Struthio camelus: one gene and its partners. The protein of the gene in region 4 purifies or fractionates together with the protein of the main gene of each other region. This does not show direct contact. Links are inferred from orthologs where the notes say so. Each region holds a gene or a part of one and is shown on either strand. Other genes may lie near its edges.

Evidence for each region.
Region 1: the proteins of EZH1 (region 4) and PHF19 purify together in Homo sapiens (affinity purification with mass spectrometry; 4 studies listed by BioGRID and IntAct, counting the BioPlex papers as one, with this or other methods). This does not show direct contact. The link is inferred for Struthio camelus from reciprocal best matches to the Homo sapiens genes EZH1 and PHF19.
Region 2: the proteins of EZH1 (region 4) and JARID2 purify together in Homo sapiens (affinity purification with mass spectrometry; 4 studies listed by BioGRID and IntAct, with this or other methods). This does not show direct contact. The link is inferred for Struthio camelus from reciprocal best matches to the Homo sapiens genes EZH1 and JARID2.
Region 3: the proteins of EZH1 (region 4) and MTF2 purify together in Homo sapiens (affinity purification with mass spectrometry; 3 studies listed by BioGRID and IntAct, with this or other methods). This does not show direct contact. The link is inferred for Struthio camelus from reciprocal best matches to the Homo sapiens genes EZH1 and MTF2.

What each region holds. Positions count from the first base shown.
Region 1 is NC_090961.1:3,054,822-3,062,195, reverse strand, and holds the start of PHF19 (PHD finger protein 19), read right to left. Parts: upstream 3,009-7,374; 5' UTR 2,965-3,008; coding exon 2,949-2,964; intron 1,324-2,948; exon of another isoform or gene 1,273-1,323; intron 78-1,272; coding exon 1-77.
Region 2 is NC_090943.1:98,478,882-98,486,409, forward strand, and holds the start of JARID2 (protein Jumonji), read left to right. Parts: upstream 1-4,514; 5' UTR 4,515-4,529; coding exon 4,530-4,613; intron 4,614-7,528.
Region 3 is NC_090949.1:18,605,090-18,613,003, reverse strand, and holds the start of MTF2 (metal-response element-binding transcription factor 2), read left to right. Parts: upstream 1-4,898; 5' UTR 4,899-5,167; coding exon 5,168-5,172; intron 5,173-7,914. UniProt on the Homo sapiens protein: Polycomb group (PcG) protein that specifically binds histone H3 trimethylated at 'Lys-36' (H3K36me3) and recruits the PRC2 complex, thus enhancing PRC2 H3K27me3 methylation activity.
Region 4 is NC_090966.1:7,813,013-7,820,193, reverse strand, and holds the start of EZH1 (histone-lysine N-methyltransferase EZH1), read left to right. Parts: upstream 1-4,172; 5' UTR 4,173-4,238; coding exon 4,239-4,249; intron 4,250-5,183; exon of another isoform or gene 5,184-5,202; intron 5,203-5,440; exon of another isoform or gene 5,441-5,575; intron 5,576-6,099; coding exon 6,100-6,220; intron 6,221-6,813; coding exon 6,814-6,942; intron 6,943-7,181. Other genes in the region: RAMP2 (receptor activity-modifying protein 2), read right to left, coding at 1-44, 432-588, 792-904.

The DNA of each region.
Region 1 (7,374 bases), on a different chromosome or scaffold from region 4:
CTGGACGTGGCTGGCAGCCGCGTAGACATCCCGGATGATGGGGTTCAGCTTGCTGCTCTCCATGAGCCTCGGCAGCCCTGGGAGGGGAGCACGCGCTCGTCACCCGCCGCCACCGCCGCTGCCCTGCGTCCCGCGGGGTTCGGCCGGGGTGTAACGAGCCCGTTGTTCGCCCGAGCTGCCCACCGGGCGCCGCGCAGGCTGCGTGCTTGGGGGTCCAGAGCTTTAAATCTGATGTTAAATTTCATGCATAATTTCCATGCAATTTCCCCGAAGGGCACGAGAGCCCCGTCGGGGCAGGGAAGCGGGAGCGCTCCAAACAGCGCGTGAAACGGAGCAGCCGAGTTTCGCTGCCGCAAAGGCTTGAAGCGCGAGAGGCAAACAAACCGCCCTCCCTCGACAGCGCCCCGGCCGCAGCTCGCCTCGGGACCGCCGGCAAACGCGACAGAACAACCCAAAAGTTACTTTCCCCCCCGCCGAGGAGCGTCCCTCTGATGGCGACACGCACGACTTCATGCCACGCATCGCAACACGGGACCGCACGGCGTCTCGAGCAGGACGAGCTGCCTGCGGCCGGAGCGCGCGATTAACAACCTTCACCTTCCCCGGGGATGACCTGGCCGCTTTTAAGAAGCCCACCCGTTAAACGGACCGCGCACCAGGCCGGCAGGCAAAACAAAAAAAGGGGGAAAAAAGAAAGAAGGGGGGGGGAAGGGGGGGATGCTCAGCGGAGCTGGCGGGAGCGGCTCGGCCAGCCGCGCCTCGGCCAACGCTTCTCCCGGCGCCGGCAGAGCCTGCGGCCGCCCAGGCGGGCTCGGCGCACGCCGCGGGCGCCTCCGGCGGGGCAGGCGGCGGCGGCGCGCAGGGCGCCGCGGGGCATCGCCGCCGGCCCGGTTCGGCTCGGCTCGGCTCGGTTCGGCCCGGCCCGGTTCGGCTCGGCTCAGCCCGGCCCGGTTCGGCTCGGTTCGGCTCAGCCCGGCCCGGTTCGGTTCGGCTCAGCCTGGCCCGGCCCGGTTCGGTTCGGCCCGGCGCACACGGCACCGCGCTCCGGTGCTTTCGGGCAGTGCCCGGCGCCGGCGGCACCTGCCGGGCGGCCGCCCCGGGGCAGCGCCGCCGCCGCCGCCGCCATTGGCTCATTCAAAGGCGCCGCCGCGGCGCCGTCCCGGGAACCGCGCGCCGCCCCGCGCCGCCCCGGCGGGCTGCGGCTCCGCGGGAAGCGCGGGCAGCGGCCGCCCCCGCCCCGCCGCCGCCGCCGCCGCCGCCGCCGCCCCTTACCGCCCGCCGCCGCCGCGCTCTCCCCGCGCCGCCGCCGCCGCCGCCGCCGCCGCCGCGCCGGGCCGGGTCAGGGCCCGCCCGCCCGGGGGCCGCCGGGGCCGCGGCGCGGCGGGGGCAGGGCGCGGGGCGCCATCTTCCCGCGCTTCCCGGGCCGCCCCCGTCCCGCTCGGGCAGCGAGCGCCGCCGCCGCCCCCGGCCGCCCCGCGCCGCCCCCGGCCGCCGCCGCCCCGCGCCGCTCGGTGTGCTGCACCCGGCTCGGCCCGGCCCGCGCGCGCTCACACACACACTCGCGCTCGCACGCATGGTAGCTGGGGGCGGGCGGGATCTGCGGCTGCCCCGCGTGGGGCCCCGGCAGCTGCCTCCCCCCCCCCAGCCCGCGCGTGGGGTGTCTGCAAACTGCCCCATGCACGGTATCTGCAAACCGCCCCGCGTGGGGCACCTGCAAACTGCCCTCGTGGGGTGTCTGCAACTGCCCCCCCTGGGGGTCGTCCCCAAAACTGCCCCGCGTGGGGTGTCTGCAACCGCCTCCCCTGCGGGTTGTCCCCAAGACTGCCCCGCGTGGGGTGTCTGCAACCGCCTCCCCTGGGGGTTGTCCCCAAGACTGCCCCGCGTGGGGTGTCTGCAACCGCCTCCCCTGGGGGTTGTCCCCAAGACTGCCCCGCGTGGGGTGTCTGCAATGGGCCCCCCGGGCGTCATCCCAAAGACTGCCCCGCGTGGGGTATTTGCAACCATCCCCCCTGCGGGTCACCCCACCAGCTGCCCCGCGCAGGGTGTCTGCAACCGTCCCCCGTGGGGTACCCACAGCTGCCCCCCGGGGTACGCTCCGCTCCGGGGCACCTGCGAGGGCCCCGCACCCCCCGCGGCTGGCAGGGCCCTGGCATGCGGCACCCCGGCTCCCGCGCGGGCAGCAAGTGGCGTCGCTGGGGGCTCCCGGGGCCGGGGCGACCCGCTGTGCCGCGCCGTGCCGTGCTGCACCGTGCTGCACTGCGCCGTGCCGTGCCGAGCCGTGCCGAGCCGTGCCATGCCGAGCCGTGCTGCACCGCACCGTGCCGTGCTGTGCCATGCTGAGCCGTGCTGCACCGCGCCATGCCATGCCGTGCTGCACCGTGCTGTGCTACACCGTGCTGCACCGCGCCATGCCATGCCGTGCTGCACCGTGCTGTGCTACACCGTGCTGCACCGCGCCATGCCATGCCGTGCTGCACCGCGCTGTGCTGTGCTACACCGTGCTGCACCGCGCCATGCCGTGCCGTGCTGAGCCGTGCTGCACCGCGCCATGCTGAGCCGTGCTGCACCGTGCCATGCTGCGCCGTGCCGTGCTGTGCCATGCCGGGCTGTGCTGCACCGCGCCGTGCCATGCCGTGCCATGCCAAGCCGTGCTGCACCACGCCATGCCGTGCTGCACCGTGCCGTGCTGCACCGCGCCGTGCCGTGCTGCACTGTGCCATGCCGTGCTGTGCCATGCCGAGCTGTGCTGCACCGCACCGAGCCGTGTTGCACCGTGCCGTGCCGTGCCATGCCGAGCCGTGCTGCACTGCGCCGAGCCGTGCTGCACCGTGCCGAGCCGTGCTGCACCAGGCCGTGCCGCGCCATGCCAGGCCGAGCCGTGCTGCACCGCGCCGTGCCGTGCCGCGCCGTGCCAGGCCGAGCCATGCTGCGCCGCGCGCGGGAACAACCTGTGCTCCTCGGCATTCCTAGAAACGGGGGGATTTTTCTCTGAATCTCAACAGAGAGAATCAATCACTGCAAAAATGCTCTGCTCAGTGCCAAGGAGAAGTCTGAAGGATTTGCTATTTGTTCGAAAGCGCTGCCAAAACAGAAATGTTTGCAGGCCTGCTCAGCCGGCGGGCCGGCTGACTGCCGGTGGCGGGCCGGCGCCGGGCGCGCTCGCGGTCTGTCGGCGCTTTATCGGCTGTGGTCGATGAGCCCGGCGGCAGGACCGTGCCGCCTCGGCCCCCGGACCGGCTGCTCCCTAGCTCACCTGTGAAAGAGCGGGCGCTGCCAGCGAGCGTTAAAAATGAATGGCGCAGGGGTAAAAATGCCTTTTACATGTTTCTGTATGATTCTGCCGTCTCCGAATCCCTTTGTGTCACCGCAGCGGCCCCGCAGGCTGCGGCTCTCCCCGGCAGCCGCCCCCGGGGCCGGCGGCGGCGCTGCGCGCGGCTCCCTGCAGCCTTTTGCACGTTACGGATCGTTTCGGACACGCTAACAACTACTTTCCAAAAGTAAAACAGCAAAGCTACGCTGTCTCAAAACTAAATATCCTGCCAGCAGCATCGCAGGCCACAAAATATCCTGGCAGAGAGCGGTATCGAAGAAGGGGGCGAGACGAAGCGCAAGGCTCTCAGCGGTCAATCACACGTGAAAGGCAGCGGGTGTGAAAGCTCCCGGCTCCGAGATGCGGCGCGTGAGCAGGGCGCGCGGACGCCGCCACGCACCACCTGAAACCCGGCGTCCCGTTTTGCAAGCCGTGGGCAGCTGCCGCGCTCCTGCCCTGCTGAGGGCCCGGGGACGCCGTCAGCAAGCCGTCCGTCCGCTGCCCTGGCAGCCTGGCGAGCAGGCGCGGAGTGACCGAGGGCGCTCGGCTTGCCGAAACGCTGATCGTTTCCCGCCGCTCGCCCGAGCGCGAGGAACAGGGCTTCCCGGAGCCGGGGGCACGAAGGCTGTTTTTCTCCCTTGCTTCTCGTTTCTCTCTGTGTATGAAGCTAAAGCCCCCAGGCTGTGCTGTGCCGTGCTGTGCCCTGCCGTGCCGTGCTGTGCCATGCTGTGCTGTGCCCTGCCGTGCCGTGCTGTGCCATGCCGTGCTGTGCTGTGCCATGCTGTGCCGTGCCGTGCTGTGCCGTGCTGTGCCATGACCTGCCGTGCCGTGCTGTGCCGTGCTGTGCCGTGCTGTGCTGTGCCATGCTGTGCCGTGCCGTGCCGTGCTGTGCCGTGCTGTGCCATGCTGTGCCATGCCCTGCTGTGCTGTGCCCTGCCGTGCTGTGCTGTGCCATGCTGTGCCGTGCTGTGCCGTGCTGTGCCCTGCCGTGCTGTGCCATGACCTGCCGTGCCATGCTGTGCTGTGCCCTGCCATGTCATGCTGTGCCGTGCTGTGCCATGCTGTGCTGTGCCATGCTGTGCCATGCTGTGCCGTGCTGTGCCGTGCTGTGCTGTGCCATGCTGTGCCGTGCTGTGCCATGACCTGCCGTGCCATGCTGTGCTGTGCCCTGCCATGCCATGCTGTGCCGTGCTGTGCCGTGCTGTGCCATGCTGTGCTGTGCCATGCTGTGCCGTGCTGTGCCGTGCTGTGCCGTGCTGTGCTGTGCCATGACCTGCCGTGCCATGCTGTGCCGTGCTGTGCCATGCCCTGCTGTGCTGTGCCCTGCCGTGCCATGCTGTGTCATGCCGTGCCGTGCTGTGCCATGACCTGCCGTGCCATGCTGTGCCGTGCCGTGCCGTGCTGTGCCGAGCTGTGCCCTGCCGTGCTGTGCCATGACCTGCCGTGCCATGCTGTGCTGTGCCCTGCCATGCCATGCTGTGCCGTGCTGTGCCGTGCTGTGCCGTTCCATGCCGTGCTGTTCCCTGCCATGCCATGCTGTTTCCTGCTGTGCCGTGCCCTGCCGTGCCGTGCCGTGGCGTGCCCTGCCGTGCTATTCCGTGCTGTTCCCTGCCCTGCTGTGCTGTGCCCTGCCATGCCATGCCGTGCTGTGCTGTGCTGTTCCCTGCCATGCCCTGCTGTGCCGTGCCATGCCGTGCCGTGCTGTGCTGTGCTGTGCTGTGCCATGCCGTACAATGCTATGCTGTGCCATGCCCTGCCGCATTATGTATGCCGTGCCATGCTGTGCTGTGCCCTGCCGTGCCATGCTGTTCTGTGCTGTTATGTATGCTGTGCCATACTGTGCTGTGCCGTGCCCTGCCGTGCCGTGTTGTGTGCTGTGCCGTGCCGTGCCATGCCGTGCCGTGCTGTGCCGTGCCGTGCTGTGTGTATTGTGCCATGCTGTGCTGGGCCCAGCCATGCCCTGCCGTGTTACGTGTGCCGTGCTGTGCCGTGCCGTGCCGTGCCGTGCCGTGCCGTGCTGTGCGTGCCGTGCCATGCCGTGTGTGCTGTGCTGTGCCGTGCTGGACCCAGCCATGCCCTGCCGTGTTACGTGTGTCGTGCCGTGCCAGCCGCACCCAGGGGCCGCATCCTGCTGCCCGCCTGCCGGGAGCGGGCGCCCGAGCAGGCCCACCCCGAGAGCACGCAGCGCCGGGGCAGGCGCGCCGGGCGCAGGTCGCGGGCAGAGGTTTGCCCGGCGGGCTGGGGGGTGCAGAACGCCGCTCATTCCCTCGGCATGAAACACTCGTCCTCCGGGTTCACGGGGAACCTGACGCATCTTCAAAACACTCAAACGGCCAAAATTTGCGGTGAGTCATGATATGTGAGTCACAGCAGGACTAAAATAACTCTTGCACCATCGTTCGCCTGGTGGACAGAGACGGCCGCTGGCTCTGCGGCGTTTCCCTGCGCTAGTCCGGACCAAAAGCAACTTACTCATGGCTCCCGCGCTCGCTCGGCGCTGCGGCGCCGGGTCCGGCTCGGGCCGGCGGGGACGCCCCAGGCCGCGCGCGCCCGGGGCTCTGGGGCGCCTTCGGCCTCCCCAGCTAGAAGGAGCCCTGGGCGGCCCCGGCGCCCTCCGGAGCTGCAGGAGATGCTGCCCGGCTCCAGGCGCTGCGAGGGCTGAGCCGGCGCCGGCCCCGCTGCCCCGGCAGCCCCACGGCGGTGGCTCCCGTGCAGCGGTGGCTCCGGCGCAGCGGTGGCTCTGGCACAGCAGTGGCTCCGGTGCAGTAGTGGCTCCGGCGCAGCGGTGGCTCCGGTGCAGCGGTGGCTCCGGTGCAGTGGTGGCTCTGGCGCAGCAGTGGCTCTGGTGTGGCGGTGGCTCCCGTGCAGCGGTGGCTCCGGCGCAGCGGTGGCTCCGGCATGGCGGTGGCTCTGGTGCAGCAGTGGCTCTGGCACGGTGGTGGCTCCGGTGCAGCGGTGGCTCCCGTGCAGCGGTGGCTCCGATGCAGCAGTGGCTCCCGTGCAGCGGTGGCTCCCGTGCAGCGGTGGCTCCGGCGCGGCGGTGGCTCCCGTGCAGCGATGGCTCTGGCACGGTGGTGGCTCCGGCGCGGCAGTGGCTCTGGCACAGTGGTGGCTCCGGTGCAGCGGTGGCTCCGGCGTGGCGGTGGCTCCCGTGCAGCGGTGGCTCTGGCACAGCGGTGGCTCCGGCGCGGCGGTGGCTCTGGCACGGTGGTGGCTCCCGTGCAGCGGTGGCTCTGGCGCGGCGGTGGCTCCCGTGCAGCGGTGGCTCCGGCGGGCTGCGCCGATGGCCAGCCCGCGGCTCGGCTCACTCCCGCACCTTGCAGAGCGGCTCGCTACCGCCGTTTCCACCATAGTTTTTCCTCTGCTGAACAAGGGTTTAGAAGCCTCATGCCTTCTCTGGGTTTTTTCAGCCGGGTTAAGCTGATTCAGGAAAAGCTGGATGATCTTTCCCCACTGACCTTTCCATGGTTATTTATTTAGACCGTCCCAGCTACATAAGCGCCGTTATTCTCTGCTCACCTAGCCATTAACCGTGGAGCAAACAGCCCCGGTTTAGCGCTCTAGGACTCTCCTCGACGTTTCTGCACCGTTCGATTTGGCCCCGAGGAAGCAAAATTCATTGCAGATGTTACTTTCCGCAGCAGAAGTCGCTCGCTGGATTAGTCAAACCTTGCTGTCGCTGCGATTTCAGCGCGGCGGGCGGCGAGGGGGCTCCGGCGGCGGCGGCGGCGGCGGCGTGGCACCGCCGCGGGCCGGGGCAGCGCTCCGAGCACGGCCATGCCCCCGAGGGCGCCCCGGAGCGGAGGTATGGTTGCGGTCACAGCTGGGGTAGTTAAATCCGACGCTCATCTGCTTTATGCCAGCTGTGCCTTTAAAAGGAAGAGCGTTCAGGCATTGGATTTCATGTCTTTTTGCTGTTTGTTTAATATGAATTTAATCCACATCCATTTCTTTTTCAACCTAACTTTCTTTGCGTGCTTCTGTGCAATTGCGTAAGACATGAAGAGCTTGTAAGCGGTCCCGCAGCTGTGCAAGGTTTGTATTAATGTGGCCGTTACATAATT
Region 2 (7,528 bases), on a different chromosome or scaffold from region 4:
CAAGTAGCATTACCACAAAAACTTGATGTTGAATGAGGCTGAACAGAGACCATTTTCCCCAGCTTAACTTATAGAATAAGACTAGAGAGGAAGAAAAAGAATAGTAAAATAACTAGTAATGAGCATGGAAAAGTGAGGGGAAAACTAAGAAAATATGAAATAACTTGCTTTCTTTTTTTTTCATTTAGTGTTTTAAATGTCATTTGTGTCCCATTTCTAGGGTGAGTGAGCACAGTGTTCTCTCTTATACGTGTTTTAAGGCAGGAAGGACGGTCTTGTGTTTGAAGCAGAAGACTAGGAGTCAGGCAACTGAGGTTCCCCTGGGGACTCTTGGATCTCTTGCTCTCCTGCACAGCAGCCCTTCAACAGCCTTACACAAAAGTTTTTGCGTCCACAGAGCGGAGGTAATACCTTACAGAACTGATATGAACACTAGCTGCATTTGGAATACACGGTAAAGTCTCTGAAGTGTTACATAAGCGTAGATGTTAATATAGACGTACATCGCCTGGTACAGGCTGAGCTGTATGGAAAGCACAAGCAGCCACTGACTTCAGTAAAAGTCTTCCTGATACATCACCAGGGGAAAATCAATTATTCTCCCTCCTCCCTAACCCTAAAACAGATGCGACTCCCCCCTTCCAGAATTGTTGCCTTTACTTTGAAGGTCCGAGTTTCATTTTGCAGCCGGTTCCCTGCTTTCTTTACCGGGAAAGTCGCGTACTTGAATTTTACAGGTTTTTGCTTTAAAACTGCATTTCCAAGTCACATTACCATCCATCCACTTTTAACACCGAAGTCAGCTGGGTGCCCGACAGGACATAAAACACCCCCGTCAGCACCAGGGCTCCCGCAGACGAGAGCAGCCTGCGGCGATCAGCCCAGCCTGCACAGCAAGCTGCGCACGGGCAGCGGGTGCCGGCCAGCCACCCCGCAGGAGCCGCGGGACGCCGCAGCCGCCACCGCAGGCTCCTCTCCGCAGCCGCACCAGGCAATTCAAACCTCGCAGCGAGGCCGCTCCCGGCCCGGCCCTACCGCTGCAGCCGAGCAGCCCGGGCCCCTCCGAGCAAGGCGGGCAGCCGCGGGGCTGCGAGGCGCCGCGCAGGGCCGACGAGTGACCTCAGGACACCTCCGAGGCACACCGAGCAAATCTCACGCCAGCCGGGGCAGCCTGTCCTGAGCTGACACCGCCCGCCACGCCGAGCAGCCGGCTCCTAAGACCCGTCACCGGCGGGCCTCGTCGTCTGCGGCCGCGATTCAGATAAATTAAGTTTCGTGCTGCACCTCCCTAACCTAACCCAGACGCATTAATCCTCGCACTCTCCCAACAGTCCCCCACGGCGCCTGCCTGCCTCCTTCCCCCCCCACACCCCCCATTCCCTTTCTGCAAATCCCCAATAAACTTCCCTCTCTCCTCCTCCTCCTCGGCCGCCCCCTCCCCCGGGAGGCGGGTGGGGCCCGCCTCGCCGCCACCTCCGCCGCCGCCCAACCGCCCCTCGCGCGCCCCCTCCCTCCGTCCCCCCCCCGCCGCCTCCACCACCGCGCGGCGCGGGGGGGGTGAGGAGGGGCAGGCCAACGGGAGGAAGGCGGGGGGGGGAGAAGGAGGAGAAGGGAAGGACGAGCGTCGCGAAGGGGGTTCCGCGCGGAGCAGCCAATGGGCGGCGGGCAAGGGGGGGCGCCGCGCGCGGCACGCCGGGAGGTGTAGTTCCCCGCCGTCGCCATTTTGTGGCGAGGGAACTACAACTTTCCCGCGAGCAAGGACAATTCTCGGGCCCTGCGCGGAGCCCCGCCGGCGAGGCCAGGTGCTGCCAGCGCGGCGGGCCCCGGTGCATGCCAGAGCAGGGGGACGTGAGGCGGGGCAGGGCAGGGCAGGGCAGGGCCGGGGCGGAAGGAGAGACCTTGGCAGACAGGAGGAGTGAGGCTGCTGCGGGGCGGGGAGGGGAGGGGGGCAGGGCAGGGCGGCCGAGCGTGCTGTGCGTTGAGGGACCGTCGCCAAATTCCCCGCTCGGGCTGTGCTGCAGGGGGGCAGCGGCGACCTTGGCCGCCGAGTGGCCGCACTTAAAAACCTTAAAAAAAAAAAAAAAGAAAGAAAAAAGAAGACGAGGGGGGAAGAAGGAAAAAAGAAAGGAAAAAAAAAAAAAAGGAAGGCGTGTGACGCTTAACCTGCATGAAGTGTAAGCGAGGCCTGTTGCATGCGTTGAATGCAGCGAGGCCGGGTGTTGCGGCTGCTGTCCCGGTTGGGAGTTAAGGCCAAGCCCTATCTGGGGTGTGTGTATGTATGTGTGTGTGTGTGTGTGTGTATATATATATGTATATACATACACACACACACACGGGCGCGCGCGCACACACACATACACACACACACATACATATATATTAAAAAAAAATCAGGTCCATTTAAAGTTGCTGCCGGAGAGCTGTTCTCATTGGTTAGGGGGAGCTGGAGGAGCAGAGACACACACAGTGCGTGCAGCCCTCGCTGCTGCTGCTGGGGCTGCTGCTGTTGCTGCTGCTGCTGCTGCTGGGGCTGCTGCTGCTGCTGCTGCTGCGAGTTGTCTCTGCTGCTTTCCCTGCTGCAGCAGCACAAACGTGACTTCCAACATTTTTATTTATCTTCTCCTTTCAACCCCGTTCCTTTTCCAAGATGTAACTACAGCTCTGACACTAAGGACCTGCAGATCGCTTAGGTGGCTTGAGCAAGAGAAAAGGGGATATCAAGGGCGTCGTTTTTTGTGTTTAGGGGGAAATTTTCCATTACAATGTTTCACTAAAGTGATTTTTTTTTTTGCTTCCTTCGCATTCGTCTCTTCTTCTTCTTCTTTTTTTTTTTTCATCCCCCATATCTCGGATTTATTGCTAGGAGAATCACATTGTGAGGAAAGAAAGTCGGATTACAAGATACCACTACAAACAACCCCCTCCCCCCAGGATTTTTCGGTATTTTTTTTTTAAATTGTCGCGGCTTTAATTCATGAAGCAATTGTCCCCTTTTGCAATCAGAATTTGGATACCAGAATGAGCAAAGAAAGACCCAAGAGGAATATAATTCAAAAGAAATACGTAAGTGGTCATAACATATATCATTTGACTCCCAGTTTTAGGAAATGGCAGTGAATGTCAAGTTTATAGCTAATCCTGCAGCTCTAAGGCTTTTAAAACAAATGTAATGCTGAATTTTATTTTTCTGTGGTGTGGTGGGGGAGTTTCATAGGCCCCTTTTAATGGGAAAACCTTCTATGCAGTTTGGTTATAAAACCAGATTTGTGTAGCGATACCTCCAGTGAATAAATGTATTGACCTCAAATGACACAATCATAATCTAGTTTTAGATGAAAGGCAGGGAGCTCGGGGGGCTGCTGTGATAATGTAACGAAACTGCATTTTCAAGCGGTTTTATTAATATTGCGCTTTGCATGCAAAAGAACATATTTGACGATATGCGTGTGTATATATTCCTGCCTGGTGAAGCCACTGTGGTTGTTGAAAGCCCTTTAAGTTGAAATCGAGTGTCTGGTTATGGCGAGCTTGTTTCTTGCACTACCACATCAAATCTAATGTATGTGATCGTTTGCTTATCTGGCTCGCAATAGAAAGCAAACCAGTTGGGGATCGTGTTGCAGGGAATGCGTTTGTTGGGATTGCCTTTAATAATGGGAAAATGGCTCGGTGTAGTTTAAAAATTCATTATGATGGCTTGAAAATTTGGGAGAATACAGTGCAGCCCGGGCTGTATTTCTGTCTCTCTTTATTCAACCGCTTAACCAATCCCTCGTAATTGTCTAATCCTTTAAACATATAAATGTGCATGGATAGTTGGATTTTTGTTCGTGCTCCAGTTACGTTTTGATTGGCATAGGGGAGTTTTTCTTTACGTTTGGAAAAACTGAGGGGATTAGCCAAATATGCAGTAGAGCGAATAATGATTTTTATCTGCATGTTTAAAAAATTCTTCATTTTGTGGAGAGAAAAAAAAGGAGTTGCTTTAGGGTGTGTGTGATGCGACACTTAAAAAGTTGTAGTTTATATGGTACGTATCATTTGTGCTATTTTTTTCTGCGGGGGGGGGGGATATGTGTGTTTCTTTGAAGGGAGGGTGACCTTCGGGACACTTTACCTTGTTATTATATAGATTTCATAAAAACTGCAGTTGACTTCAGATGACTGTTTCTATCGATTTTCGACCCATTAAAATGTAATTTAGAGGGACGTGAGATTAAACAATAATTAAAAACTTCAGCCTATTCTCCGCCGAATTTTCGAATTAAAATATATCCGCATTGCAGAGGAATTGGGAGTCTGAAGCTGACTAGTTTAAAGTATTGCATCCAAACAGGAACATTGTGTAGAAAGTCTAGCGAAACATGTAAGACGTCCACGTTTCCCAGGCAGTGAAACAAAGCAGAATGGGGGGGGGGGAGGGAGGAAGGAGGAAATTGTGATGTTAATAATTAAAAGGAACAGGGTGGGGGTAAACACCCCCAAACCTGTTATTTCTAAAACCTTTCGCAGGTTTGTGGGAGCGAACAATGCAGCGTTACTCTGGCTACACTCATAGCGCTGGGCAGAGAATTAGTAAAACTACTGTCAGCCCCTCAAGCCCCACGGGGGAGGTATGAGGTACACATGTGAGCATGCTAGGGGAGACAATGTATCTTGTGTTACAAGTTTTAACTTGGCGGCGGCAAATCGCTTTTTTCCCTTTTTTTTTTTTTGCGCCTCTTTTTCCTTTTTTTTTTTCTCTTTTTCCCTTCCTCCTCCTCCTCTCTTTTTGGAAGGGGGAAAGAGAGCGAGCGCGGGGAGGGGAAGGCGGGGGGAGAGTGCGGGGGCGAGCGGGCTGCCGTGCGCCTCGGCGGGGGCGCGGGGGGCGGCGCGCGGCGGGGCGCGCTGGCGGCGGCGGCGGCGGCGGCAGCAACAGGTTACGCGGGATGTCAGCGCGAGCCGCGGGCTCCCGGCCACGCCGCCCGGCCGGGGCCAGGTTCGCCTCGCTCCCGTGACGTCACAAAGGGAAGGGCCTGCGCGCCGTGGAATCTTCGTCGCCTCGGCGCTCCGGGGCCCCCCCCCCTCTTCCTCCTCCTCCTCCTCCTCCTCCTCCTCCTCCTCTCCCGCCCCCGGCGTGACGTCAGAGCCGAGGCGGGCCGCGGCGGTTGGGGCGGGGGGAGGCCCCGGGGCGGCGGGGGCCGAGGCCGGCCTGGCCCCGCACCAGGTGAGCAGGTGCCGGGCTCCGCTGCCCTGCCCCGGCCCAACCCGGCCCGGCTCGGCCGAGGGGCGCCCTGGTGACCGTGGGCCGCCCGGTTTGGGGGCGCCCTCCCTGCGGCGAAGGTCTCTGAGGTCCTTGGGCCCCGCTTCCCCCCCCCACCCCCCGCCGCCTCCTCCCCCCCCCCCCCCCGGTGGCGGTGCGCGGCTTGGCAGCGCCGTGGGGCGCTGCGGGGCGAGCGGCGCCCCCGCGGGTGGCGGCAGCCCCCGGGATGCTGGCGGGGTAATGACATGGCATGACACCTTTCTTTTTCCTGTGACCTTTTGAGCGGTGCAGCATCATAGCAGAGCATGCTGGGCAACGGCTTCCTCCTAGCAAATGCCAGGCAGGTCTTTTGTCTGCCTGCTCGGGCTGCAGGTGCGAGCGAGCGCGTGCGCACCCACAACTTTGGGCAGCTGTCACCTGGCCCCAGCCTTCGCAAAGGTGACTTGCGCCGGTGGCTGCACGCGTAACCCGCCCTCCCCAGTTAGTCTTTCCTCTTTTTGCCTCTTCACCAGTAATGTCCTTCGGCTTCGCGTTGAGGCGCAGTTGTTGATCACACACAAAAGTGCGTCCTGGGTCTTTGGGTGACTCACAAGTTGGGAGTCCGCGCTCAACGCTTCAGTAGATCTGGAGATGTTGTCGTTTTAGGTGACCTGGAAAATTTGCCACTTGAAGTTCACAGTCGCTGAGGAAAGGCAGTCCCTCTGTATTTTACTGTCATGAGTAATCTTATGATCTCTTTGTATGGAAGAGCTGGCTGCTAGGAATTCCTGTGGAGCTGCTGTACGGGAGCAGAACAATGGTCCACCTAGTGTCATATACTGCCTGTGTGGCTGGCTGAATGTGATGCTTTATGGTAAACAAAGGTCTGAAGTAAGAAGGTATGACAGTCGTGCTAGTGAGTAATACCTTGTCATAAGTAGCAAGACGATGAGCAAACCCACTCAACTAAACAAAAACAAAGTACAGGCTTGGTGGTGTGCCACAGAGCTGAGATCCTCACATCACTGCCGACTGTCATATTGCAACTGGCGTCTGTTTAGACCATTACTTTTCATTTACAAAATGAATTCTGAAAACAAAAAGGCAGTGAGAACAATGGAGTAAAACCTACGTGTTGTAAGCTGCTTGCTGCTTCCGTACAGCTTGACTTGCTGCTTTGTAAATAATGGTAATTAAAAGTTCCTTTAAACTTTGAATGTATTATCTTTGCAACTGTTAACCCAGGAATGAGGAAATCCGTGTATATATGTCTTTTTTTTCCCTGCTCTTTAAAAATGATATCACTTAATTTTTAAAAGAACTATGGCTGACTCATACAAATCTTTCTTCTCACTTTACCCTCCTCCTTCTCAAACATCTTTACATATCAAATATTGCCTTTTGGCTCAAGCCTCAGAAAACTGACAGCTTTGTAAAGCATCAGCCGAGAAGCCAGACTGCATTCGGTATGCGCTTGGAATTAATAGTTCTTAAATAAAAACCTTTGAAGTCTTAAGCATAATTTCACAGGTGCATTTTTCTGCCCGTTTTTGTGATGTCAAATAGCAAATCTTCTGTTCTTTCTGGTTTAGGTCTTGAAGTAACAGACCTGGATTACTGTCTTAAAATACTTGCATAGTTCTGCCACGGTAGCAGATGGCAAAATATAATTAAGTAATAATGTCACTACTGTCTCCTTGTGTGATTTGTTTCGTTGTCCTTGCAGAGGTAAAAGTGCTGTAGTCTGCCATAAGGTGACACGCTTCACCTAAAGACAGCCGCGTAAGCCCCTCAAACAGGGTCAACGGGGCCTGTAGAGAATTAGTGTATTGCAGACATCTGAGGAGAGCTCCTCTCAGTGCTGCCGGTTTTTTAAACAACACTTTGTGCTTGGGGGCGTATTTATAGCACGATCTGAAAGAGCGCTACATATGTTTAAGTAATACGTGTATAAATTGTGTTACAGCAAAATCCTCAATATCTCTGTGAGAGGAGCAGGCACGAAATTGCCTCGCTTATCAGATCGGGTTCTTGAAACCCGGCTGCTGCGGGATGCCGCCAGGCTGCAGGTGGGTAGGTGGGTGATGGTGGCCTGTGGGGCTCCCGGCGCCTTCCCCAGCGCTGTGGGGTGGGGGGCTGCCCGGGGCAGGGGGCAGGTGGTGGTTTAGGGCTGGCGCGGTGGTAGGGCAGCGCCACCTCCTGAGGGACGGACGTTTTGTGTGCAGGGGCACAGCAGACTCGGGGTGGGTGCCTCCGTCCCCCCAGGGCTTCAGCCCCTCCATGTGGGGTTTCCTCTTTTCCCACCCT
Region 3 (7,914 bases), on a different chromosome or scaffold from region 4:
CCAAACCTATCCAAGCATTTAGTTTTCTGTCCTTTGGACCTCGCTCACTGTCTTTCGGTACAAAAAGAGCGTCAGTATAACCAAGATACATGCCAGAAAATTGCTTTCCTGCCCCTTAATTTTCTTCGTTGACATACTTCTCACAACAAAAGCCCTTCCCCCTCTTTATGAAGCAAATGCAAAGATGTTGTTAAATACAACATAGAAACACTGCACCTCAAACTCTTATTATTTCAGTCGCAGACTCTCTCAGTCTCTTTAAAGTTTTCTTACACTGTATACTGTGAACTGACAGATTGCTTCTTATTCAACCATTTCCAGGAAACAGAGAGATTTCAGCCATGGAGGGGTATGAACTGTAAATTAGGAATAATTAAGGCCTTATATTAGAATTATGTAAGCATTTAAAAGCTTGTAAGTGTTTTGAATTGTGAACCTGCAGATATCTGTAGATATTTACATATCAAAGACCACTTAGTAATAAAGAATCTCAGCTAAATTTTTACAGGTAATTTCAGAAAGGTTATATGTCTGGAATAAAATTCTAGAGTGAATCAGGTATTAGGGAAGCTTTAAGCTTCAGCTTCTTTTAAGCATTTTTTCAAGCATCTTAAGTATATAAAGTGCTTTTACTAGAAAAAAAAATGTTTCTCTGTGAAGACCAATGGCAATGTGGTCAGCATCCAGTAGCACTAATGTATTTTCTTCTGTAATGTTGATATACAAGAATGCAAAATCTTACCTATCTAGAAAAATATTTTAAGATATCTATTTTGTTCTGTTTTCACAAATATTTTTATATCCTTAGGATAGAGCGAGAATAATTACTGCAATTTTATGATAACAATTGTTATCTGGTTATAAGGCAATTAATACTAATTTCTTCATATCTTATAACAGCACTCACCTATTTTTTATATTTTGAAATTGAAGATCCTTTTCTGAGTCCTAGAATAATAAATACAGCATAAGTGCACTGTCTCACTAATTATTATGTTTACGTAAAAGTAGATGTACCATATTCAACTTGATTGAACATAGGAAGATCTCAGGTGAGCTTCCTTGCTGTTCCCATGCTCAAACAATACTGAGAAAGTGGCCTGGGATCTAATTTTCCCTCCTTACTGAATTGTGGTCATGACAACCATCTGTACAAGGATAAGCTTTACAGTATTGTCTTGTTCGAGGTTATCATTTTGACGTTACATTGGGTGATACAATAAGGCAATGGAAAATAATACTCTACAGCAGTTGGTGCTCTCATCTACATACACTGTTGACTTAAGTGTATGGGTTTTCTGTTTTGATTTGCTTACTTTTATTATTTGTTTATAGAATTCTTGCTAAGAAAGTGTATAAACATAACACCTGCTTTAAAACGATATACTAACATTTGAGAGAAGGGCTGTTGGCTAAGGGACATGCCACTATTTCTGAGTCTGTATTTAAACATTATTTAAATTTATCCAGCTTTACTGGTTACAGAAAATTTACATTTTGAACATGAAATTTAAATTGTCTCTCTTGTGCCAGCAAGGCAAGATACAATTTCAAAAAGTAAAGACTTTGCTATTATTCATCTTTGTGGCAAAAATGTACCAAACAATATGTGGACAAAAATAAACACTAAGGGAGAGACGTGTCAGGTCAGTATTCTTTAACCCCCTTTGAAAACAGAGCTATTTGTGAAAGGAGGTGGAAGAAAGCTGAACGTATTTATTATTATGCAGAACCTTATAATCAAAGTCTTTTTTTTTTCCTGGAACTCCTACACAAGAGAGCTCTTACCGACATTTGAGGAGAAGTAATTTAATTTGGCCTTGGCCATGCTGTGACAAAAAGTATATATGTAATACGTCTGGAATTGAAAACACAATAGCAGAGAGTGCTTAAACTGTATGTGCAAATACTTTCAAGGCATTATCAAAAGGCAAAAAAGAAAACAAAACAGGAAAGTCCATTCTAAAGTCATCATATATAGTCTTATTGGATCTTAACAGAAGAAATAACTAGTTGCTTTACTACTAGTGCTGAGCAGAAAGCAGACGAAGATTCTAGTTTGCTCAAAATCAGGTTAATGATACATGTCTCTCGATAATTGGAATTGTATAGAGTGTCTAAAGTAGGCTGACTTTTACTTTTGCTGTTCCTTCTTTGCCCCACATATGCCAGTGATAATCAGGATCCTTTCTGCTGCAACTATAGGTTTCAGCATTTGCTGATTTAAGCATTTCAATTTGAAAACCATTTATAAAAGAATCATTTGCACATTTGCAATAAGATTCCCAACCCTGTAATTACCTCATCAGGTTGGGCAAAAGAACTATAAAAGTGACTGTTCCAGTGCATATTTACTCTCCAAGAGTAGAAGTAGCTGAATTTAGTCATCTATGTTTAGGTATTTCTCAAACATTTGATTTACTTGGTCTAGTAAACGCATCAGGTGAATAAGACTTGCATGGTGATGGCTCTAGAAAGGAGCTTCCTGTAGGATGGTGATTCAGTGACCTGCTAAACTGTGTAAAAACTAGTTACTAAATTACTGTGATGGAAGAGGGGGTGTCTGTGTGAGGTGCATAGGTTGGAATTTTTCCAGCTATCAGTAAGAGCCGACCTTAAAAGGAAAGAGAGGTTAACATGGCTTTATTTAGGATTTGGCTGGGAGCCCATACTGTGCTTCACAGAAATTCTGAGAGAAAAATATTATATGGAATCAAATTTGTGGGGATAATATTGATATGGTCTGTTGTTTATAGTAATAAAGCTAATAGTAACAAGCTTTGGGAGCAAAGTTCTGGACTAACTAGTTCAATCCCCCTAATAGAAAACTAATCAGTGTATCAAACTTTAATCATCCTTATTTACTGTGGGGATTCTTAGTTTCTTTTAGCGCTGCCCTCAGATAAAGGTAATGCTATTCCAGCAGCAACTCCTAGCTCTGTGACAAGTGGTGTTTTATGTTTAGGGTGTGGCCATGCAGCTCTGTGCCTTTATGCTAGTTATGAAAACGGTTTCAGGGAACAATATTCCAAGGAAAAGGAGGGTAGAGCTACATGTGTCTTTCTGATCAAGGAGGTTTTTTATTTTTTTTTAAGGGGGTGCTGGTGGCGAGCTAAACAATTTACACCGGGAGATCGCACTCTGAGAAGTTCTGATTTAAGCAATTTCAAAAAGACAGCAGAAACAGGTTGGTAAGACCCTCCAAGGGGGACTGTAAAAAAGTAAGTTGTGAGGGAGCCAATTATTGATGTTTAGTCATGTTCATCCTATGGCTGATAAAAAAAAATCTTACTTTTTAACTGGTTTAACACTGGTTCTCACCTACTATTATCAGTATAACTAAAAGTTAAATACTTGCACGTGTGTTTTTCTCAGCTTGAGTAAGTGCAACTTTTTTTCTCACGCCGGTGACCCCTTGCCTTTAGTACTAGTGGTACCTAACTGCTGCTAGCAGTATCTCAAAATACGTGAAGAGCAGGCCATGGCAATTGTGCTGTGCAAGCCTGTTCTTCACAGATCTAGAGGCCATCATGATCATGGGCCGAGCAGTGGCTAGTTAGTACATCCAAAGGGAATTTTAGGGAATTATTCCCTAAAACCTGTATTTTAAACAATTGCCATCATGAAGAGATTCAGGTTTTACTGTTTTACTTTGACACCCCTCAGAGTCGGCCAGATTAAGGTGTAAAAATGACAGCTCTTTCAGACTCATCTGCTTTAAACATCACTCTCTTTGGTCCTCTTTTGGGTGACAAGCTGCCTCCACGTCCTGCTGTCCTCAGGACCATGCGCACCCAGGGATTACCCTCCTGGGGACCACTGACCCAGGGAGGCTGGCAAGCTACTGTACTGCACCCCTGGAGACGTCAGGGGGCCAAAGGGAGTCAGAGAGGGTCTGCAAACAGATCCAGTGTCGTTTCCAATGGCTGATCTTTCTGTGGAAGCTCAGCCAACACGTTAAGGCAGAGTGAACAGGCCAGACTGCCCGTGCGAGATCCCATCTAGTAAATACTTGCATTTCCACTACTGCTTAGAGGTCTGAACTGTGCCAAGGAACTGCCCCTATGGGACTGGGGCAAACTTTCTATTGTGTGTCACTGTACAACTGCTGCATTTAATCAGAGCTGCTGCTGAGGCTGCGCTAAGCCTAAGGAACTCTTCATAAAAACAAGCTGCTGGTGATGATGAAAACTGAAAAGCCTATTCCAGTTCGCTAACACAGCTGCTGCTAGAAAGAGAAACTAAACTTTAGCTCAGCTCCTAAAATGGCAGTTATCTCGAAGACTGCGACTGCAGAGGAGCTTCTCCTTCAGACTGTCTACCCTCACGCCCTTGGTGTGAGCAGGCCCCCCCCCCGAGCAGCCCCTGCTACCTGGGCCGGGGAGGACACCGCGGGCGCCTGGCTGCCCTCTGGGGCGCGACGCCGGCTGCCCCGGCCGGCCAGGGCCCTTCCCGCCCTCCCTGGATCATTCTAGACGCGCGGGCCGACCCCGCCGCGGCGGGGCGCCGAGGGGACGGGCCGGCTCCCGCCTCACGGCCCGCAGCCCAGGTGGGCGGCGGGGGCAGGTAGAGCGGTGCGGGCGGGCAGGCAGGCTGCGCGGGTCCCCGCGGGACTGCGCCGCGCCGCGCCGCCGGCACCTCGCCGCCTCGCCACAGGTGCGACGAGGGAACAATAGGCGGAGGCTGGCGGGGCGGCGCGCACCCCTCTGCGCTGCCGTAACGAGTCCCGGCCGCGGGCAGGGATATTCCCCCCCCTTTAGCGAGCACGCCTAAAGTAGTCCCTCTTTGTTCACCAGCGGGCAAGGTTCGGCTTCACCTGTGTCCTTCCGCCGCAGCGCGGCTGCCGCCCCGCCCCCTGGCCGGGGAGCTGCCTGTCGGCGCAGGCGGGGCCCGGCCGGGGCGGGGCCGCGGCTCTTTGTGCTCCCACAATGCACCAGCTTCTCCTCCGCGGGAAACAAAAATGGCGAGGGGCTGCGGTGGAGCCGGGCTGTCTGTGAAGCGGGTCTGACCCCTCCCCCGCCGCCGTCCCCTCGCCTCGCCGCGGGGTCCGTGCTCGGGGGGGTCCCGCTGCGCACCGAGGGCCCGGCCGCGCCGGGGCGCCGGGGGGAGGGCTCCTGAGCTGGCTGATTTCCCTGTATGAGGCGGTTGGCACCACCGGAGAGACCGAATGAGGTGGGGTGCGGGGGGCGGGCGGGCCCCGCGGCGGGGGGGAGGGCGTGGGGGGCGGCGTCGCCGGGCCCCGCGCGGGGCGGGGGAGGTGCGGGGCAGGGGGGCGCCCCTCAGCTGCGGCCCCCCGGGCCGCATCCTGCCGCCGGCACGGGGGTCGGGCCGCCGGCGGGGAGGGGTGCGAGGGGCCCCGCTCCTGCGCGGGGGCCCCGGAGGCCGGGGCGGGGGGAGAGGGGGCGGGAGCTGCCTCTGCGGCGGCCGGTGGCAGGCGAGCGAGGGGCCGGTGGTGCTCCTCCGTGACCAAAACAAAGGGAGCGAAGGCAGGAGACCTTGTAACGGGGGCCTCGGGGGTGTTGCAGCCGGGCGGTTGCCGCTGGGTTTACCCCAGCTGGGTTTTTTGTGTGTCTTGCTTAAGGACTTTGGCCGAATGGGCTGCATTTGCTCAAGTGTAAAAGAGCAACACAAAAGAGGTGGTGGTGGCTGCTGGTAACTTTGCTTTTTCTTCTGTGATGCCTCTTCTTTTAGTCTCTGTCAAACTAGCGCGATTCAAATGTGCTGAAAACTTGCGGTTTTAGTCTACCGAAATGTGGGAACTGTTGCTGGCTGAAAGGATGTGCAACAACATATTTTCTTATCTGTGATGCTTGAATTTTGTGGAAAAACTGGGTTGGTACTTTTGTTAGTGGGAACAATATGCTACTGTGTGAGACAGTCTGGACACTGATATCGAGTGTTGGAATATTAGGGATTGTCATCCACCTCAGAAGCATTTGGGTGCTATTAAAAGGAAAGGGCCTGCCAGGAATGCAGTGTAACCTTATGCTTATTTCTTGAATTTCTGATGGTTTGGCTCTGTTCAGGACATTAGGTAATACATAGTAATGGATAATAGCATGATCTTCTTCTGACCTACGGTGTAGGTCATTCATACCTTATACCGAAACTGTCAAGCACAGAATAATGAAAAAATGGCTTCACTGATTTTTGTGGTTTATAGTCAGGTTGGTAAAAAGCTAATAAGCTGATGTTTGTCCCTCCTTGGAGAGCTCAAATTGCAGTTAATTGGAAAGCCTTTGAGGCTGAGAGGAGAATAGGTGTTGTAATATTAGAATACAGGTTAATATGTTTAATTTTTTTCACTTTCAGTGAAAAGAGACTAAGGGGGCACAAAGACTAAGAATATGAAAGAAGGGACGTAATAAAGTAGTGAAAGAGTTAGAAGGATCTTTGTGGGGAGCCACAAGCTAGTGAGATGTGCATCTAAACTTAGAGAGTAAAATGTAGTAATGCTTTCCACAGTTATCTTTATCTGGGAAAATAGTTATGTGACTTCTCAACAAGTTCTTATCTCTGCTCGGTGAAGAATGCTGAATTTGATGTCAGTTGTCTGAAAAGTTGGCTTAATATGTTTGTTTACCAATTGCTTAGATATATAACTTAAAAACAGTTGAAGGTTGCACTCCCAGTCAATATCAAGACTAGCCTCAGATACAGTTACGTTTGTTCTTCCATGCATTAGGAGATCAGGCAGAGTGTATGAGAACAGCTGTAACAAATAAGTTGCAGTGCATTTGCTAGGAATGGGCTGGTAAAGGGTGGCCTTCCATATAACCTGGAGATAGATGAGGATGAAGCTAGTACTAGAAGCATCATAAATTGCTGTAAAGTGTGTTTTATACTTCTAATGTTAGTTGTGGAAGAGAAAGTTTGGAGGGGAAAAACATCTGTAAGTGAAAGCCAGTATAAATCTTTCTCTTCTCTTAGTTTGTGAGTTGACAGCACTTTTTGCATGACTGACCTCTGAGCTTGCTGCAGAGTTGGTTTCACCTTCTTTACAGGCCTTCCTTGCAGGAAATGGAGGGGAAGTGTGTCTTTGAGTAAAACAAACCAGGAGAAGAATGGTAAAACGATGGGTATTGCTGATGGGTCCCTGGGCAGGGTGATACTTGTCGCTGAAAGTACTGAAACTAGTTGAATTAACTTGTTGAAGGATCCCGATTTCAATCTGACAGGCTTTTCCTAGAAGATGGGAACTCTGTTAAGCAGGGAAATTGAAAAGCTTGACTTTCCCTTTCTTTAAGAGAAGGGGAATTCATGATGACAGCATTCCTGATGAACCTGGACACACTTCATTCACTAAATATTTCAGAGGACAATAACACTTCATCCTTTTAAAAAATAAATCAATTTCTATGTATTTCTTTCACTGGAGCGTTTGTAAAGGTCGCTGTTCCTGTAGAATGGCCTTAAAGGAGGAAATATGTCCTCATGGTTTTTGACTGCTTGTGGAATTTTTCCCCTTCTCTCCTCTCTCCCCAGTGCAAGTCAGAATGTGCTCTGTGATCTCATTTACTGCTTGGACGCACGCTCATACTGTACTCTTTTAGGTATGTTGCTGGGCACGCTGTATTTGGATACTGTGGAAACCAGAAAGTCAATAGCTGGGTTAAAGGAGATGCTAAGTATACGTTTAAGGAAAGATCTGATTAAAAGCGAGGTGTGTTGCATCGGCATACCATACCCTTAGTCTCTCCTTGATACTACCTACTTCCTCTTCTTTGTGTATAAACACATGATCAATCCCAAGTCATTCTACAAATGGCTATTACAATAAAGTACTACCTTGCCCTATTTCCCTACATGCTACAATACATAGGGTAATACATTGTTATGTAATTATTTGTTAAAGACTGTTTTAATTCTATTTGATGTGCAAAAGAAAAAAAAAAAAACACTTTTAGTTGATTC
Region 4 (7,181 bases):
CTGGCCGAAGCCCTCCGCCTGGGCGCCGGCGCGGCCCAGCCCGGCTGCGCGGGGTGCGAACGCGCTCAGGCGGGGCCGGGCGGCGACGCCAGGCCGGCGCCCCTCCGCCCGCCCGTCCCGGGGCCGCCCAGGGCCGGAGCCGCGGCGGCGGCAGGAAAAGGAAGCGCTGACCGCAGCCTGGCACGGCCGGAGCGCCCGCCCGGCCGCGGCGCCCGGCCTCCCCCACCGCGCCCCAGGGTCCTGAGCCGAGGCGGCGGCGGCGAGGGGCGCCGGCAGGGAGGGCCGCGCGCCGGGACCCCCCGCGCCGCCCCGGCGAGGCCGGCGGCCCGCGGCCCCCACCCGGCCCCCGGAGCGGCCGCCCGGCCCGGCGGCGTGCGGAGGCCGCCCGGCGCGAGGCGGCGGCGCGGGGCCGCCCGGCCGCCCGCACTTACCCCACAGCAGCAGCAGCAGGAGCCGGCGGCGGAGCCGGCCGGAGCCCGTCGGCGCGCGCGGTGCCATCCTGCAAAAGGCTGCCGGCTAACGACCGGGACAAGTATTTCAATGGAAATAACAGGAAGCAACTCCTTTCCTCTGACAGGGGCAGTTTGACTACAGGAGACGTGTGAAAAATGAGATTGCTCAGCGCTGCTTTAAAGCAGATCTCCCGGCGGGACCCCGTCGGCGTGGCCGCGCGCGGCCCCGCCGCCGCCCCGGGCCCCCGGCGGGCATCGCTGCCGCCCCACCGGCCGGGGCGCGCGGCCGGCGCCCGGGGCGGGAGAGGCTCCCGCTTCGCCGGGCCGCTGTTTGTTTACTTGTGTATTTCTCCGTAATCCCGTCTGGGCTGGGTTGTGAAATCCCTCGTCTCCCGCGCGGAGGGCAGGCAGCCCGGCGGCCGGGCGGGGGGAGCGGACCGGGGGAGCGTCATGTCCCCGGCCGGGCCCGGCCGCGGGTCGCGCGGGGGCGGACGGAGGCCCCGGGCGCGCGGCCCCGCCGGGCACCTGCCCCGCGGCCGGGCCGGGCCGGCGGCAGGTGGGGAGGGAGCGGAGCCACCGCGGCCGCGTGTCCCCGGCCCGCCGCCCCCCGCGCGCCGCCGCCGCCAGGCGCTCGCCCCAGGAGCCCGCTGAGACCCGGCGCGCTCACGGCGCTCCCGGGCCGGGCCGGCGCTTGCAGCCCCACGTTTCCCCTCTGAAAGCCGGCCGGCGGGACTCACGGAGCGCAAACCGCGGGGCCGCGGCTGGCGGCTGGCGGGGACCCTCCCTGCGCGGCGCTCCCGCCGCCCGCCGCCCGGCCGGGGCGGCCCAGCGGCTGCGGGACCCGGCGGCACCTCCGGCCGGAGCGCGGCCGCATCTGGCGCGCACCACGGGCCGGGGCCCCCGGATCCCGCTCCCCGTGGCCGCAGCGGCTGCAGCCGGCCTCCGGCCCGCCGGCGGGAGCCCTTGCCAGGGAGACACCCAGTGATGTCAGCCCGGCCCCGGGGCCCCGGCGGCCGGCCGGTCGCGCCCTCCGCCGGGGCCGGGGCTGGGGCCGGGGCTGGGGCACGGCCCGACCCCGCCAGCCCCACCTCACCCGCTGCCCCCTCCGTCCCCCTCCAGGCCCTTCCCGGAGCCGGCCCGGAGGAGGCTCGTGTTCTGCTCGGCGCGGGGAGGCGCCGGGCCGCTGCCCGGCCGGTTCTGCACCGCTTTGCCGGCTCCGCTGAGCGTGAGGGCCACCGCCAGCGGGACCAGGCAGCCGAGCCCGGCGGCCAGCGCCGCGGCCAGCCCCGGGGGCAGCCCGCCCGGCCCCGGGCGCCCGGCCCCGGCGCAGCCGCTGAAATACTCGGCGTGGATCTGCAGGAAGAAGGCCTCCAGCGTGGGGCTGGGCCAGGGGCAGGCCAGCACCTCCGCCAGCAGCTCCGTGCAGTTGGAGAGCTCGCTGTAGATGCTGCGGGGAGAGGGGAGAAGACGCTGGCGAGCCGGGCGGCCTCGGGGCTCCACCGCGGTCCGGCCTCAAGCACGCGCTCACCACGGCGAGCGCCCAGCCCTTCTCCGCGTGCCGCGCCGGCGAGCCAGGCGTGCAGCCGCTGCCATGCGCCGGCAGCGTGCAACCCAGCACCACGTGCACGCTCTGGCTGGAGAGCTGAGCGCCGTGCATGCTCCGGCCAGAGAGCCCAGCGCCGTGCACGCTCTGGCTGGAGAGCTGAGCACCGTGCACGCTCCGGCCAGAGAGCCCAGCGCCGTGCACGCTCCAGCCGGAGAGCCCAGCGCCGTGCACGCTCCGGCCGGAGAGCCCAGCACCGTGCACGCTCCAGCCGGAGAGCCCAGCGCCGTGCACACTCCAGCCGGAGAGCCCAGCGCCGTGCACACTCCAGCCGGAGAGCCCAGCGCCGTGCACGCTCCGGCCGGAGAGCCCAGGGCTGCACACATTCTGGCCAGAGAGCTCAGCGCCGCGCTCGCTGTGCCGGCAGTGGGGTCGGACCGACCTGCCGATGTGCTCCCAGCGGCAGCGGCTGCCCTCGGGGGTGGCCGTGAGGGCGGCGTGGAAGGGGGCCCAGCAGTACAGGGAGATCCAGTCCCGGTAGGTGTCCTGGCAGCGGGCTGGCCCGTCCAGCACCTCCAGCGGTCCTGCGGGGAGGCGGCGCGTGAGCCCCCGGCCGCGCTGCACCGCGCTGCGCCGCGCCAGGCTCGGGCACCTCCACTCACCGTCCTCGTCCAGATAGAGGTAGTGACCTGGGAGGAGAGACGGCGCCGTCCCGTCAGCGCCGCGGGACCCCGCGCCGGGCAGGGCCGCGTCTCCTGCCGGGGCAGACGGGCTGGTCCCGCCGAGGGGGCCGCGACGCTGCCGGGGCCCGGCGCCATCCCCGCACGGCGCTGCCGCGGCCTCACCTTCGTCCGGCAGGTCCGCGTCCGCCGGCTGCCCGCGCCCTGCGGGAGGGAGAGGCGGGCGCGAGGGCTGCAGAGCGGCCGGGGGGCTCGGGGAGGCGGCGGCGCGGCTGCCCCTACCCCGCCGGAGCAGGGGGAGCAGGAGGCAGCAGAGGAGCTGCGCCCGCGCCCCGAGGCGCATCCTCCCGCCGCCGGGGCCGCCGCGGGCGGTCGGGCCGGGCCGGGCCGGCAGCGGCCCCTCGGGATATATCCGCGTGCCCAGGGCCGGTGCCAGCCCTTTCCAGGCGCTCCGGAGCCAATGGCTGGGAAGGTCGGGGAGGGAGCAGCCGGTTTGGCCTGACTCAGCAGGCGACGCCGGCAAAGGCATCAGATAAGGGGTCGAGCGAGACGCGGGGGCTGCGGGTGGCGTGGGAGCGAGCTGCGCTGCCGGGACCGGCCTCGGCCCGGCCCCGGGGCCTCCGGCACGGCGCTGCCGCCGCGGCCCGCCGCGCTCCCGGCTCGGGGCCGCCCGCAGCCGCTTCCTGCCCGGCGCCGCGGCAGGGCCGCAGGAAGCCCAGGGCCGCCCACGCCGCCTCTCCGGGCCGAGATCCCGCTCCTGCCCTGGTGGGTGGGGAGCCCCACGCGGGTCCCGCACCCCGGTGGGGTTCCAGGGCCCACGGGCCCACAGGCGCCCGCGTCCCCCGGGATCCCCTCCGCCGGCAGGCGATGGTCCCGCCCGGCTGAGAGCCACCGGCCGCCGCGGCCGCGGGGCCCATGGGCCCTGGGTCCCCACTGGGGTGCGTGACCCGCGTGGGCTCCCCACCCACCAGGTAGACTCGTGTCCAGGCCCCCACCCGCCTGGGGCAGCTGACCACATGGGAAGACCCGTGTCCGGGCCTCCACCCAGCTGGGGCACCCCAGCCAATGGGGGGACCCATGTCCAGACCTCCCACTGTGTGGGGCACCCCACCCACCGCAGAGACCCATGTCCAGGCCCCCACCCGCCCGTGGCACCCCACCCAACGGGGGGTCCCCTCCCACGTGGGACCCGCCTGACCGCAACCCCGGCTGCGGCCCAGCCCCGCGCGGGACCCGCTCCGCCCCCCGCCCGCCCCAGTGGTACAGCCCGCCCTCCCCACGCGCGGGACCCCCTCCGCCCCCCGCCCGCCCCAGTGGTACAGCCCGCCCTCCCCACGCGAGGGACCCCCTCCGCCCCCCGCCCGCCCCAGTGGTACAGCCCGCCCCGCGGCACAGGCTCCGCCCCCCGCCCCGCTCGGCCCCCGCTCGGCCCGGCGCGGGGGCGTGGCCAGGCTCGGGGGCGTGGCCAGGCGCGGCGCGGGGGCGTGGCCGGGCTCGGGCCCGGGGTGGCGGCGCAGGCGCAGGCGCGGCGGCGCCCCCTCCCCCTCCCCCCCGCCCGGCGCGATGGCTGAGGAGTGAGTGCGGGGCGGGGGCGGGGCCTGGGGGGCCCGGGCGGCGCGGGGGGCCCGGGCCCAGGGCGCGCGGCGGGGCCGGGCCGGGGGCGGCGGGAGCCCCCGCGGGGCCCGGGGCCCGGAGGGGCCCCAGACAGGGTGGCCCGGGGGGCGGGGGCGGCTCCTCCCCCACCCCCACCGGGGGGTGGCGACCCTCCGTATCGCGGGTCCCTGCCCTGGCGACAGCCCCACGCGGGGGCCTCGGGGGCGCCCGTGGGGCGGATGGGGCCTCCCGTGGGGCAGATATGGCTTCGGTGATGCGGATGAGGCCTCCTGTGGGGCGGTTAGGGCCTCCCGTGGGGCAGATTTGGGCCCCCGTGAGGTGGATGGGGGCCCCATGGGGCAGATGTGACACCCGTGGGGCAGATGTGGCGCCCATGGGGCGGATGGGGCCTCCCGTGGGGCAGATAGGGCACCCGTGGGGTGGTTGGGGCCTCCCGTGGGGCAGATTTGGGCTCCCCTGGGGCAGATATGGTGCCTGTGGGGTGGATGGGGCCTCCCGTGGGGCAGATTTGGGTCCCCGTGAGGTGGATGTGGCGCCCGTGGGGTGGTTGAGGCCTCCCGTGGGGCAGATTTGGGCCCCCGAGGGGCAGATGTGGCACCCGTGGGGCAGATATGGTGCCTGTGGGGTGGATGGGGCCTCCTGTGGGGCAGATTTGGGCCCCCGTGGGGCGGTTGGGGCCCACGGGTAATTTGGGCCCCCATGGGGCAGACGGGCCCCCCGAGGGGCAGCGTGCGGCTCCTGGCTGCGCTGCCCGGCGTGTGTCAGCAGCCCCTTCCCGGCGCCTCGAGCCCCCCGCAGCAGGAGCAGGATTCTGCTCCCTGCGTACTTCCCGACTGGGAATACTCCCCGGCGCCGCTAAGCCTTCGCATTAAACCACCCCTTGACGATCTTCTTGCGTGGCCTGGCTCGCTCCGTAGGTGGTTTTTAACACCATCACCCCCAGGAGATGTGTGCTGGCATGAAGATTGCTGTATCGATTTTTTTTTATTATTATTTTAACATTTGAATGGCAGAAAGTCTTGTAAAAACATTTGAATGCTGTGGAAATGCAGCTTTGAGAACAGTCCGTAGGAAATCAGGGAGTTAATTTTTAGGGATGAATCATTGCAAAAGCAGAGGTTGGAGAAATCTACTCGAGTGTCTCCGAGTCTGAGCCGTCCGGTGGCTGTGTGGCTGCGTCAGGATGGAGTCTGCTCGACCTGCTTGGGAATCGGCCGTTCAGACAGAGCTATACGGATCTGCATGAATGATTACTGTGTGTGCGAAAGGCTGAAGCAATGAAACGCGTAGGAGTGTAACACGTTTCAGAGGCTAATATGACTCTTGGGGAAAATCGTGTTTCTCTGCAGAGTTCTATTGTACAGTACATTTCTGAGAAGAAGGACTAGAAAATAGAAACAAAAAACCTTCCTGGCTTCCTGTCACTGTGAGAAAGTGCTAGCTTGCTGTAGCCAGACTAGTGATGTCGTTATTTGTTTTGTTGGTGCCCTGGGCAAATGGAAAAAGGGGAACACCCAGAACGCTTTGTCCGTAGGGGATTCATAGGGATTCAGACTGGACATAAGCAGCTGAATCCCTGTAAGCATGCTTAGTTCAGTGCATCTTCTTATGTCCAAAGCTCTCCAGGCTTTTCAGTGCAATTTATTGTAATTATTCCTTAAATAGGACTAGTGCAGATTTATATAGTTATTTTTTCCTGGGTATAGTCTATGATGCATTTAAAATGCACATGGATTTCTTTTAATAGCCCTCGTTTATAAGTTTAAGATCTCCTTTATTTGATATTTATCCTTTTTGTATTTTTTTGTAGAAAAATGGAAATCGCCACTCCTCCAACATCAAAGTGTATTATATACTGGAAAAGAAAAGTCAAGTCTGAATATATGCGTCTTCGACAACTCAAGAGGTTTCAGGCAAATATGGGAGCTAAGGTAAAGACATTATGAGGATGGTTCTAGCTGAAAGGATATCTCCTAAATATTTCACATTAGTTTATAGTCCTAGAGCAGTTATCAGATGAGTGATTCATCCTGCTAATTGCAAAGTTATATTAGTTGTAAATTTGAAGAGATATTACTTTTCCTCATGCTCCATTAGTAGAGCAGTGTGGTCAGTGTCCAATATATAGGTACAACAGTTTACCAGCCAAGTACTTGCACAACTGCAGTAAGAAGACTAATTTCAACTTGTTTTTAGAAATATCCCTTTGCTCTAAACCTTTCAGTGCAAAGGGACTGGTAGGTTTCAGGTGGCTTCTTTGCCTTTCTTGTTGGCAGGTAGGTTTTTAGAAAAGGTCAGCTGTGGCCAGGAGTTATCAAAAGACTGTTGACTGTTCAGTAGATTTACAGTGATGTTTTATACCACTGCTGAATTCAATTAGAATTCCTTCTAATAGGTACCATCAATTGAAATGCTGTGCTGAGCGCGTAGTTTGATATTTGAAACAAAATCTCAGGAAGAATTTTAGTATTTTAAACCTTAACAAGATTTTTAAAAATTTGAGTGCATCTTTCTCCCATTTTAGGCTCTGTTTGTGGCCAATTTTGCGAAGGTTCATGAAAAAACTCAAATTCTGAATGAAGACTGGAAGAAGCTTCGAGTTCAACCGGTGCAGTTAATGAAGCCGGTCAGTGGACACCCTTTCCTAAAGCAGGTACGGAGAAGAGAGCAAAAGTGGCACAGCAGCAACAAATGCTGGTTAGAATCACGGCTTTGCAGGGGACTGTGAAGATACTTAATCTTTTTGTTTTGTCCTGCCATATGTCAGTATCAGAGCATGCCTAGTATTCTTCCATGATGCAAAAACAGGCAAAAACAAAAAGGGTTTTCATGTCAAGGAATCAGCATGAGTGAACGCAGGGCTTAGCTGTATTTGTCCTGTAGTGTGATTTC